Drosophila melanogaster: one gene and its partner. The protein of the gene in region 2 purifies or fractionates together with the protein of the main gene of each other region. This does not show direct contact. Each region holds a gene or a part of one and is shown on either strand. Other genes may lie near its edges. The genes, in order: coro and Iris.

Region 1 (7,987 bases), on a different chromosome or scaffold from region 2:
ACAGTTTTGTCTATACAAGAATGGTTTTGTGCCCTATGCTTTAGGAAAAGTTTGAACTATCAGTTGTAGCTACTTTAATCCGGAAACCATGATGGCATGTGGTCCTACACATTTAATAGATTCTTTTTCGAGTGTACTTGGGGAATAGAGATGTCATTATAACGGAAGTGGCCGGTGAACACAACGTGTCGACAAAGCGGCAAGATTTGCAATCAAGCATTAAGTCAATTCTCGGCCAGTCCCCGATCGCTGGACCATCGCATTCGCATCAATTCAGCGACGGTTGCATCTCTCGCGATTTCAACACAAATTGCTGGAGGGCCCCACAACAGCCCCATTGTCAAATGGTTAACGCGATTACAAGACAGTCGCTGCTGAAAGTTGGTTGACACCCGCTGGTTAAGTGGCGTGCGGATTAGTTGGTTACTTTTCAATAATGATTCAGCAACAGCCTGTTTCTAATTCTGGCAGAGACGCCTCCTAGAACCAAAATCTGACTCAGGACCTTTTTCAAGACCTTTTTCAAACGGAATTCTATTAATTCTAATTATACTATCAAAATCATTATGTTATTTAACCCCATTTCATTGTTATTAAGGTATACATACCTTTCATTTATAGAGAAGTTTATTCTGATTCGTCGAAAACGTTGCAACGATTCCGACCCTATGAAGAATATATTCCTGATCAGAATCGCAGGTTATAGGTAATTTCCGAATGTACTCAAGCGAGTTTTTAGAAGAAAAGAAAAACACTGTTGAACAATTTGAGAAACTAGTGACGCTCGCACCTTTGACATCTATTGTGAATAAATATAATACTAGACTTAAACACAATAACTAGGTAGATTGTGGACTTCCATCTAATGTGAGTTTTGAAGATCCGGTACTAATTTGAACCTTTGACTTAATTTCCTTTCGAATATCTTCAGAAACAGCCTTACATTTGGGGCCCACTGTAAAGAATGGAATGCAATGTGATGCTGGGTATTCAATCACACCACCCGGGTAATGGGCGTCGGGAATGAGTTCTTCAAAGATTTTCATTTCTTCAGCGATTTTCTTGAACCCACACTTCCGTTAATCGCTGAGTGGTCCGCTGATAAAACCACCGACGGTCAAGTTGATTAAGCGCAGAAGAGGCCACTTTTTTGGCCATTGCGAGCGGAATTGCGAATGCAATTATGATCGATCGGGGAAGTGGGAGTGGATGGGGGTGGCTCGACTATGATAACTCAGGCATGGCAGGTGCCAGCGATGCCAACGAAATAAATAAACACATCAAATGCGATTTACAACGCTGCTTTGAGCATCGTGCACTGTGTTTGTATATGAAAATTTCATTTCGCCTAAGATGATTTAATTTTCTATTAATAAGTTTGACCTTCAGCCGCGAAACAAAAATTTTCCCGCCTGCAAACGAAGGTGTTTGGCATATAAACACATAAATAACAACGCATACACACGCCGCAGATATATATATATATATATAGATAGATATATTCCGGGTACAGTGCTTAGGAGTATTTTCCAGTTGGTGGCAAACATTTCGGCGTCGTTTTGGACTACATAGGCGTAGCACTTAACATTATCTCTGTGGTGTTTAGCCAACTCCGAGCTGATATTTCCTTATCAGTGGAGAGGCCATGTCGATACCCACACCCACCCAAGAACAAAGCCCTCCGGGGCTCACCTTGTGGCCAAAAACAGACAGCGTAGAAAGTAATCAATTCTGGGGTCTGCTTTGGGGCCAGTTTAAAGGGGTCAATGACAAAGTTTAGTGCTTGCAATAAATATGAATATCTTTGAGCAAAACAAAACGAAGCAACGAGGCAAAAGAGGCAAATAATTTTATGGCACTTCTCTGATTAAAAACGAAAGCTGTTCGGAGTGGAAGCCTGCCGGGCTCGGCCCAACCCAGAAATGAATTCTGCTTCAAACACGTAGCTATCTAGAAGTCTCCCGGAGTGTTAGGTATATGTTTGGGCTTAGGTTGGCCTGCGGGATCGGTTTGCTCAGCCATAACTTACGTGTTGGAAGGCTACTCATTGCTGGAGTGGCTATTTTGGCGTTATGATGTCATCCTGAAAGAAAGGGGTATGGAAAACTGATAGTTCGACACGTTCCGGCTGGCGCTTCATTAACGAAAGTGGACCCGAATGTGGCAGTTGCCAAGTGGCAGGTGAAAGCGTTCTAGGCGCCTCCCGCCGTTTCCGGCGCTTTCAGTCGCCAACATTAGTGATGCCATAAGCAATTTGATGCAACCTCTCGCGGACAAAGTCAGCGCGTCAATAGCAAGCTGCGAATGGAAAGCTCATTGATTTTCGCAACAAGCGAAATTAGCATATGCAAATTTATTGAACTAATCGAGGCTGCGAAGCGCGGTGAAAGAAAAACGCGTTAAGCTAACACATAAGTGAGCGAAGCTGAAAGCGAATAACATTGCTATTCGGTCGGTTTATGCGTCGCTCAGAACTCGGATAAGGCTAAGATCACGATTTTCAGGTTTCACAGAACTGTGTAGAAAACAAAACCTATCAAATGAGTGTTCAAATCTCTGCCAAAAAGTAGGGGTTTCATATCTCATTCAGGTGCGGAAAGAATACGGCTAAACGATTTCGCTTGAAGACTTGTTATTAAGGGCAAAGGGTGGAAAATACCAAACGCGTAAGAAATTCCCCTACATTGCTAACTATCCTTCGTACGTCTCATTTCTTTTCAGAGCTAGACGTAGAGAAGCTCAGGACTGATCGCTGACCCAAGCCACTGCAGCATCAAGATGTCATTTCGCGTAGTGCGCAGCTCCAAGTTCCGCCACGTCTACGGACAGGCTCTCAAGCGGGAGCAGTGCTACGACAACATACGGGTATCCAAGTCCAGCTGGGACTCCACATTCTGCGCGGTGAATCCCAAGTTCCTGGCCATTATCGTAGAGTCGGCGGGCGGCGGAGCCTTCATCGTCCTGCCACACAACAAAGTGAGTGCGCCACCGGACCTATTATAGTTGCACTCGTCTACGTGCGTCTGCCCCGACGCGGCCAGCTTGGTGGGGTATTTTTAAACAAGACAATGGGCAACTATTTATAGCGCCCTTTTGGCATAAAGTTTGCGGCCATTTGCGGGCTTGTTGCCACGTCGCGAGTGACGTCGACGGATTTCGCATGACTCCACCCAATCTCACATGTGTTTATAAATAGTTATAGATTCTGCTACTACCGCGGCAGCGATACTGCTAGCTGGCGCACTTTTGTAATTTGGCCACTAGCCAACATGACAAACAAATCGTCTAATTTTAGAGAGAGGCAGAGGAGCAGCCAGTTAAATGAATACAAAAATGATATTCGGGCGAATCATTGCATCGAAATGCACACTCAGCTCGGCGACTTATTCCGCTAAAAACTAATTGTTTGTATTCCACTAAATTGCATTTTCAATCTCAAAATCTTTTGGCCGTCCTGCCCCAGATTCAGCTATTCGGGCTTCTGTTTAGTTGTAGTTTTGCGCGCAGCTCCAGCAAATAGTGTGGGCAGCAGAAGCACCCATTCCCCTAATCTTCCGATGCTCCTCTTTTGATGAAAACATATATGGAAGTACACCGATGGTCGTTCCATTTGAAACAAAAATTTGTATGCAAAACGCGCGGCAAGCGATCGTTTTTTTCACTCTAAGCAGTTGCCGCTTTTTTAAGTGATGATTTCTATGTGGAGCGGCTTTCACACGCCCTATTTTACTTATTTTATGGGCACTGGATGATGAGTGAGATCCATCTAGTCGCCAAGGTTGGCCGCATGTGGCAAGTGTAGGCAAGAACAAGCACAAGTTCTTGAAAAAACCAAAATAGATTTACACTCATGGAACTCATTCGAGAAACTTTTTGGAATGATACATTTTAATACATTTATTGAAAGCGATGAACAAAGAATATTATCTAATAATATATAACAATGTTAAATTTGAAATAGTTTACCATTACTATTTGTTATAATATGCTTCGAAATATATAGATTTCGATGGGAGCTATTCGGCATTCCAATTTTCTATAATTCTAGGGCCATATTCGGAAGCAATTGGCATGAAGTTTACAATTATAAATTGCCTGCTTGGCAGATTAGCGAACATAGCAGAACCGAGTGCAGTCGGAGTCGGCTATAAATAATAATTCAGGAATTGGGCTAATGGGTCGCGAGGTTGCAGTTTTGCAATGGTTGCTGCTCATGACTTAGTCGCCATCAATTATAAAAATTTACTGTGGCGTATCGAGCTAATTGAAATTTAATGGACTCTTTCAGGTTGGTCGCATTGCGGCTGACCACCCTTTGGTGGGCGGTCACAAGGGTCCTGTGCTGGACATCGCCTGGTGCCCCCACAACGACAACGTGATCGCCTCCGGCTCAGAGGACTGTGTGGTCAAAGTGTGGCAGATCCCCGATGGCGGGCTGTCGCGAACACTCACCGAACCCGTGGTCGACCTGGTTTTCCACCAGCGTCGCGTGGGTCTGGTGTTGTGGCATCCCTCTGCGCTCAACGTGCTGCTTACCGCCGGCTCCGATAACCAGGTGAGCGAATGCTAACACTTCTTCAGAAGCCCATGCTTATACTCTCTGTATTGCGAAGGTCGTGATTTGGAACGTGGGCACTGGTGAAATCCTCGTGCACATCGACTCCCATCCGGACATCGTTTACAGCGCCTGCTTCAACTGGGATGGCTCTAAGTTGGTTACCACCTGCAAGGATAAAAAGATCCGCATCTACGATCCGCGCACTGCCGAGCTGGAGAGCGAAGCCATGTGTCATGAGGGCTCCAAGGCCACGAGGGCCATTTTCCTACGTCACGGTCTGATCTTCACCACAGGCTTCAACCGTAGCTCGGAGCGTCAGTACTCCCTGCGCGCACCGGATGCCCTTAACGAACCCATTGTCATGGTGGAGCTGGACACGTCCAACGGCGTAATGTTCCCTCTTTACGACGCAGACACGAACATGATCTACTTGTGTGGAAAAGGTGACTCGGTCATTCGGTATTTCGAGGTTAGTACAAGTAAATCTACAATATTACATATGAATATTATCTAACCAAAATCTCATCGAACAGGTAACGCCCGAACCTCCTTTTGTGCACTACATAAACACGTTTCAGACTACAGAGCCGCAGCGTGGTATTGGTCTGATGCCCAAGCGAGGCTGTGATGTGACCACCTGCGAGGTCGCCAAGTTCTATCGCATGAACAACAACGGTCTGTGTCAGGTCATCTCGATGACTGTGCCGCGCAAATCGGATCTTTTCCAGGAGGATCTCTACCCCGATACGCTAGCGGAAGACGCTGCCATCACCGCGGAGGAGTGGATCGATGGCAAGGATGCGGATCCGATCACATTTTCGCTCAAAGTAAGTGGCTAAGGTGCAGAAGCAGCTCAGACTTTTATTCCGTGTTGCGAATACAGCGCTCGCCGCCGAATGCGGCAACGGTTCGGCCACACTGCCAACCATTCCGCCGGCGATAAGAGCGTACAAGATATAGGATATATATCAGCATGTGCGCCAGCGGGGCTTGTCCACAGATGGCAATGCGGCTCGAAGTCGATGAGGCAGTCGCTGCCACTGTGGACGCCCCTTCTACAATGTATTCCAACGGCTTTTGCAGTTGCTTTTGTCTGCTAGCACAAGGACTCCAAGTGAGCTACTTGTGAGTTCCGTTTAAAGCTTACTCCCAGCATTTGCCGGTGGCTACCTACCAGCGTGTGATGCCTGCGCTTGCTTTACTTACGTTTTTTCTGCGTTATCTACGTTTGTGCCTTGTCCGCCCAGCCACATTCCACTCCAATACACAGACTACAGTCCTCGTTCTCCGTTGTACAATGTCACTTGAGACGAGGCATCTTAAGAATGTTTTAGTGACGACCGGAATAAAGAGTATTCACAATGATCTAAAATGGTTTAGTATTCTAAATGTTAGCTAACTTATTAAAGTCTCCTATTGGATACAGTAACACGCCGCATAAATGCACACTTGGCCCTAACACGCACGCGAATGCGCGTGGCGCTTGTCGTTGTGTTCATTGTTGTTTGTTGTGTTCTGAAACGAACAGATTTTCTTACCCGCCTAATCAGGATCGCGTTTCCATTGTACAGGGTGGCTACGTGTCCTCGTCGGTAAACAAATCGCTACCAGCGAAGAAGGCGGGCAACATCCTGAACAAGCCTAGAGGCGACAGCGCTAGCTCCGGTGCAACGAGCAGCAGCGCGGGCGGCGGCAACTTTGCGTCCGGAAATAACAATGAGGCTAGCGAAGGTGGACCGCCTGCAGCGGTTTTATCGGTGAGTACTTGCACTCCTTCAGCGGTTGTATGATTAACTTATTGGTTCACTTCAAAAGGAAAAGGACCTGCGCACCATACAAGACGAGATCCGCAAACTTAAGGCGATCATCGTCAAGCAAGAGAACCGCATCCGCGCTCTGGAGGCCAAGGAGGACGCCCGCAACAAGAATGGAAGCGATGCTGCGCCGGCTTCAGCGGGAGCAGCCACGTCTGACGGCAAAGCCAGTGAAAGTGCCAACGACCACGCGTCCACATCAGCCGGAACGTCAAAGGACGAGGACTAGGTCTAGCAATGAAACGAGGACTGAACTGATAAAAATGGGCGGAATGGATTGGAGGAGAGACAGAGAACTGCTTGTAGAAGCTCGTAGCTACGCTTAATTTCTCTATTGCAACAAAGCGCGCTGAGGACGAATTGAAAAAGAACTTATTGTCTATTACCATTATGGTTTCGATTATTTATTTTTTATAATTTAATATTAGCGAAATCAGTTGAGTGCGGGTGTGGCACAGATAGGGTTAGAGAATGCCGAGCTAAATCATCTAATCGAACTTAAGCGAGCATAACCGAGCAGACCTGGACGCTTAACGTATAAAACATAACATAAAACTACATCCTGCCAAAAATATATAAAAAACCTAACGAACTACCTACATTTTGCGCCCAAAATCAAGCAGAGCGAAGGGCAGGTACTCGGCCCTTTGATCGGCTTGTTGTTACGCAAGTATGAAATTGTTGTAAATTTAACAAAGGCAAATCATAGACTAAACCTCAATCACTTAAGAGTTAACACCTACCTACCAAATTTGTACGAGCTCCTTTCTGTAACGTCTGTATATTTGTACGTCCCGGAAGTTTTCATGACAATAGCTGATAGAATCGATACTGTTCATCCTAGCTGAGGCCCCCTTAATCAGTCACATTTCCCTGCAAATTGTCGTGTCAAACATAGCGAATTTAGTAAGAAAGTGATGGGGGTCATCGGACTTAATTCGTTTTCGTAATCAAAATTTTATTGTTCAAACTAATGATAAGCTGTATTTTGAAATAATAAGAGTAACAATAAATGCAACAAAATCAGAAAGAAAGTAAGAAACCATCGAAACTATTTTTATAAAAATTTGTTTACTTTTCTTTTCTTTCATTTGATTTTACTTTCATTAGTTTTGTTAGAGAACCGAGGGCGAGAGCAGCGTCATTAAACACCTACCGATTTTGTAATTCACAACCATTGTAAAATGAAGACTATATACATATACATACATAAATACTCTATATACAAATAATTTACAATTTGATACGGAATAAAACAAAATACAATGCCAGAAGAAGTTGGGTGCTAATAATGGAGGTGTTTCGTATCTAATTCTTTTCGTAATGTGTGTTCTTTTAGCAGCATTTTCAAATATGTAGATGTTAGTCGACAATGGAATTTTTACCAGCTGCACTTTAAACTAATTGACAACTTTTAATTGCAGAAATAAGCTCATCCATGCGTTATTCATTGCCGAGCCTATGTGTTCGGTTCAATTGAATATGCAAATTCGTTTAATTTTGCCTAAACAGCTTTTGAGCATACTGCCGATGTGTTGTGTGTAATTATTACCTCAGCGAGCAAACCAAAAAAATGCAATTACAATTTACGTGTACAACGATTCTGACATTTTAA
Region 2 (4,511 bases):
GGCAATGGGTGGCACTTGCCACCCAAGATGTGGTGAATGGCGATGGCGATGGCGTAAGGCGATGCTAGGCGAACGGCGCCAGGCGAGCAGAAAGTGCAGGAGGAGCGGAAGGGGCGCAAAAGGGGCTGAAAACTTTCGCCTAACTCGCTTTCTAAAAATAGAAATGAAATCGCGCGCACGTACGCACACTTTAACAGCATGGAGGCCCCCCCACTCACATACACGCACACACGTACTCACACACACTCACAAAGGAGGCTGGCCGCCATTTTGTGTGGCGAACGCCTACGCGATGTTTAACTGCGCTGTAGGTTCCCGTGTGCTTGTGTTGGTGAGCGCTGAGCTACATATATGAACAGTGTAACTGCACTGGGAGAAATCGTGGAGCTGTATATACAGAATACCATATGTTTCTTTAGAGTTGTTGAAAGAAAAGGCAACATTGTGCTTTAAGCCGCAGCTTGATATATGTATATATGTTTCGTGAATATTTTGGCAGAAATTTGATTATTATATATATATGTATATAATTTAATATAATTTATATAATCATTTTTTTGTTGAAACTTTAATTTAAAGACTTAAAACTTATTTTATTTGATAGTTTTCTTTCAAGAGTGCATATAGCTACCCACTTACTCAGAAAAGTCATTGGTAGTTTTCTCGCTGTGCAGGCACAGTAATGATTCACTAAGCCAGTGCAAGAAAAACAACCGCAGGATGGAAATTTATAAATCGCTCATGGAGCGCGGCATTCAAAAGGACGACAGCTGTCGTCCTCGCGCAAAACACCTACGCAATTTCCTGGCAGAAACAGCGAACGACGAGCGGTAAATGGGAAATGGAATATGCTAAACGAGATGAGCTCCGAGATGGAGCCACTCGAGCGGATGCCCGACCCTCAAAAGCCAGCAGCCAGCCAACCCACGCAGACGACGAGCTGGAGGCTGGAGGCACAGCCTTCTCGGGCCGGGCATTTTTCAAAAACTCGCATTTTCCCAGTGACCTTTAGCCTTAAGAGTGGGCGTGGGCGGAGCTGCTGCTCCACCTGTACTGAACTTTGGCACTTACCTGTGGCCGGCTGTTGCTGCTGCTGCTGCTGCTGGAGCTGCTGCTGCTGGTGATGCTGCTGCTGCTGTTGCTGCTGCTGCTGGAGCTTGTGGTTGGCGCTGGTGGAGAGCTCCGTGTCTTGGGCGAGCACGGAGGTGGGCACCGCCCGGATTGGAAGGCTGAGGCACAGGATCAGTGCCAGGACTACCAGCAGGCTGCTGCCGGGCAACGAGATGCGTGGCATGTTTACGGCAAACGGCACTTGACTTGGCTCTAGCTGGTGGTGTCCCAAATAGGATTCGGATCTGGCTGGAGGTGGGAGGTCGACTTCGACTCCTGGCCTGGTTTCTGCCGGTGTTTGGATCCCAGTGGTCTGCGCACTTCGACTGTTCTGAATGAACTGACGTCCCAGCGACGCAGTGCAACAGTTTTTAACGTATTGCCCCGATTCCGTGCCGTTGGCCGTTGGCTTGCAGACCACATTAAAGTGCCACCCAACTCCTCCACTCGCCGACCGAATCCCGTCCGGTCTGCACACAACCTACGTCACTCTCATTGATAAAGACCGCGGAGCTCGGAGGAGCCTGCTTACGTACTTGCCTGGCGAGGCAGCGAGCCAATCCTCTACTGCGCCGGCGCCGGATCTGCAAAGAGCTGCGTTACTGCCAGGTCGCATCGGTGGGCCTCTGTGGTGCTGGTTATGCCGCTATGACACTGGTTGTTATGTAAATTCACTATATTAGTACTCAATGCACTTGACTAGTGTAAAATGTATAATAAATATGGATGGCTTATGTTATATTTGTATATTATATATTTATATTATATTTATTTGAAAGCTAATTCTGGCTAATTGCCTCACTTGCAAATATTTAAAAATTTATATTGCGCACAATGATCCGATCATTTTGCTATATCAGCAATTGAACATACATATGGACATGCACTACCGCTTGCTACCCGATTCTCAGGAGCTCACCTTCAGTTTAGCGCGGAACTCTGGGCAACGATCACCTCTACAAGCGAAAGATGAAAGCGATTAGTTTGGTATTCATCCTCGCCCCCTCGCTGATAGCGCTCTCCCATGGAAGCCCAGTTGATCGGGAGGCGATCGGAGGTCCGATGGCGATGCGGGGATTCAACAACAGTCTGGGCACCTTCGTGGAGTACAGCGGTCAGGCATCGCTAGCCTCCAGAGATTGGAAGTTATGTGCCAGCTTCAACTTGGAGTCGCTTTATACGGCAATACGTGCGTTCAATGGTGTCTACAAGGCTTTGGTCGATGTGTGCGATATCCAAAGGAATCTTTGTCCAGAAATTCTGGACATTACCAAGTTTGCGGATAGTATTCTTCACGATGGACTAATTGACTTGGAGAAAGCGTTGGACTTTAGGGCCGGACGACTTTCTTTGGGAGATGACGACGTGTCCATCGAGCTTGGGATGGGAACATCCTGCATTGACAGCTCCATTAATGTTATAAATGTGATACTTCAAGAACCCTTTCACGAGGCTTATGAACCTGAAAACCTGATTATGATGAAGCCGTATCTATACCTTATGGGCAGCAGACTAAAAAGTGCCCAGAATGCCATAACTGAAGCCATAATCTCTGCCCACCACGGAAAGCTTAGTCCTCTTGTCCTTTCAATGAAACAGCTGCAAGCGAAGATGCCGCCAATTCTGGGAGATCTGGATGGCCGATATACAATCCGGAATATTTACCTTCTCGCCTCCGTAGTTCCTCGGCAGCGGGGCAACCACGTGGAGTTCCAAATCACAGTGCCCTTGCTCGATGCGGAGAAGTTTAATATCTACCGATTGACGCCCATTCCACGGTTAAACAATGGCGTAATCCAACTGGTGGACACCGAAACACCTTATCTGGGCATCAACGATCATATGGACAGGTATTTTCCGCTTCAGAGCTTGGACGACTGCATCAAGTTGGGCGAAGAAAGGTTCATCTGCAGGCGCAACCGCATTATCTACGGGACTGGGGATGACAGTTTTGCCTGCTCCCTGGCGGCCATACGGAACCAGTCTTCCGAAGTCTGCACCTTGCGTCAAGTGAAGGAGAAGAGTCTGTGGACAGAGATGGTGGCACCAAACTCCTGGATGGTGGCCCTTACCAATGAGCTAACTTTAATAGGAGTGTGCTCCGGTGAGAGGCAGGAGCTCCAATTGAATGGCAGTGGAATCCTGAGCATTCAAAGCGACTGTGCCGTGCGCAGTCCAGCTGTCGCCCTCCGTGGAGAAGTCCGGGAAAGAGTTCCTTCGAAAGCAGGTTACGCAACGCTGCAGAAGGAACCAAAATCTTCCCAGGAATCCGTGACCTTGGAATCATTTAATCAACTCCTGGCGATCGTGGGCAAACTGGAGCTGAATCAGAAAAAGCTGGAAGCAGTCCGAGATTACCCAATGGTAGTCGTAGTAGTAGTAGCTGTGTGCGCAGCCATATTGCTGGTCGCCTTACTTGTTTCGGCGACCTGGTTATATCGCACCCATCGGAGCAAACAACTTGCGCAGGCTCAAAATCTTGTCAACGAAGTCAATGGTCTCCAGGATCCACAGAATCGCACCACAACCTGCAATCTTCCGCTGCTGGAAAAACATGAAATCTAAAAAAAAAAGAAGATGCGGCTGCGTGGTGCATCTGTTAAGTTCCGATGAAATTTCAAAGAGAGCTATGATTTTTTAACAATTTTTTGTGTCGATTATAATACAGTTTTATTTGTTTGGTTTGATTGCAATAAATATTAGTTACTCTCATCATGTACACGTTGTAAGTCTCAGGGCTTCGGTAAGGGTTCCTTATTCGCACTTAGAAATTTAGAAAATTGGGATCGGGGGCGTGGCATGCTCGGGATGGCCATGTGATCTGGGACTACGTTCGACTATTTTCTTCAAATCCGGTCTCTGCACCGAGTGCACTATGTTACAATTGCAGCCAGCGCTTCGTTTACAATAAGAACTATACTATTTCAGCTAATACAAGGAAAACAATGCCAATTACAAACTATTACACCGCTCGCAGCGGCGCATTGCACTTTGTGTCTCTGATTTTTGTATCAGTGGCCGTTCATGAAATAAAGCTTGATGCGGAAAGGCGGAAACAAGAAGAGCATGCGGCGGTTGTCCGGTTTATCCTACTTGGCGTCGTCAAGCACCTGCACGATGAGCCTTGAAATCAGTGCCGTAACTTCGGCCGCATTTGGTATGAGGAAGCGGTCCATGTCGGTTATGAGCAGACCATCGCCATCGGGGAATCCGTACTTGAACGTGATGAGGTCGCGGTGTCGCTTCTTGGCCGTGATCTTCACGATGCTCGCCAGCGGGCGACGCACCATTATCTGCGCCTGGCCGCGTCCCAGTTCCCGCAGCACCACCAGTTGCCCGGGCGTGATGATCAAATGACTGTCGTACATGTAGCCGCTCATGTGCACCTCCTGGCACTTGAA

The links.
Region 1: the proteins of Iris (region 2) and coro purify together in Drosophila melanogaster (affinity purification with mass spectrometry, with the first as the bait; one large-scale study listed by BioGRID). This does not show direct contact.

What each region holds. Positions count from the first base shown.
Region 1 is NT_033778.4:6,861,676-6,869,662, reverse strand, and holds coro (coronin), read left to right. Parts: upstream 1-1,867; 5' UTR 1,868-2,096; intron 2,097-2,138; exon of another isoform or gene 2,139-2,181; intron 2,182-2,522; exon of another isoform or gene 2,523-2,666; intron 2,667-2,721; 5' UTR 2,722-2,778; coding exon 2,779-2,976; intron 2,977-3,778; coding exon of another isoform or gene 3,779-3,796; intron 3,797-4,288; coding exon 4,289-4,555; intron 4,556-4,613; coding exon 4,614-5,027; intron 5,028-5,091; coding exon 5,092-5,385; intron 5,386-6,108; coding exon 6,109-6,315; intron 6,316-6,373; coding exon 6,374-6,601; 3' UTR 6,602-7,403; downstream 7,404-7,987.
Region 2 is NT_033779.5:1,131,642-1,136,152, reverse strand, and holds Iris (iris), read left to right. Parts: upstream 1-2,054; 5' UTR 2,055-2,079; coding exon 2,080-3,675; 3' UTR 3,676-3,821; downstream 3,822-4,511. Other genes in the region: CG4577 (uncharacterized protein), read right to left, coding at 1,072-1,294; TBC1D23 (TBC1 domain family member 23), read right to left, coding at 4,200-4,511.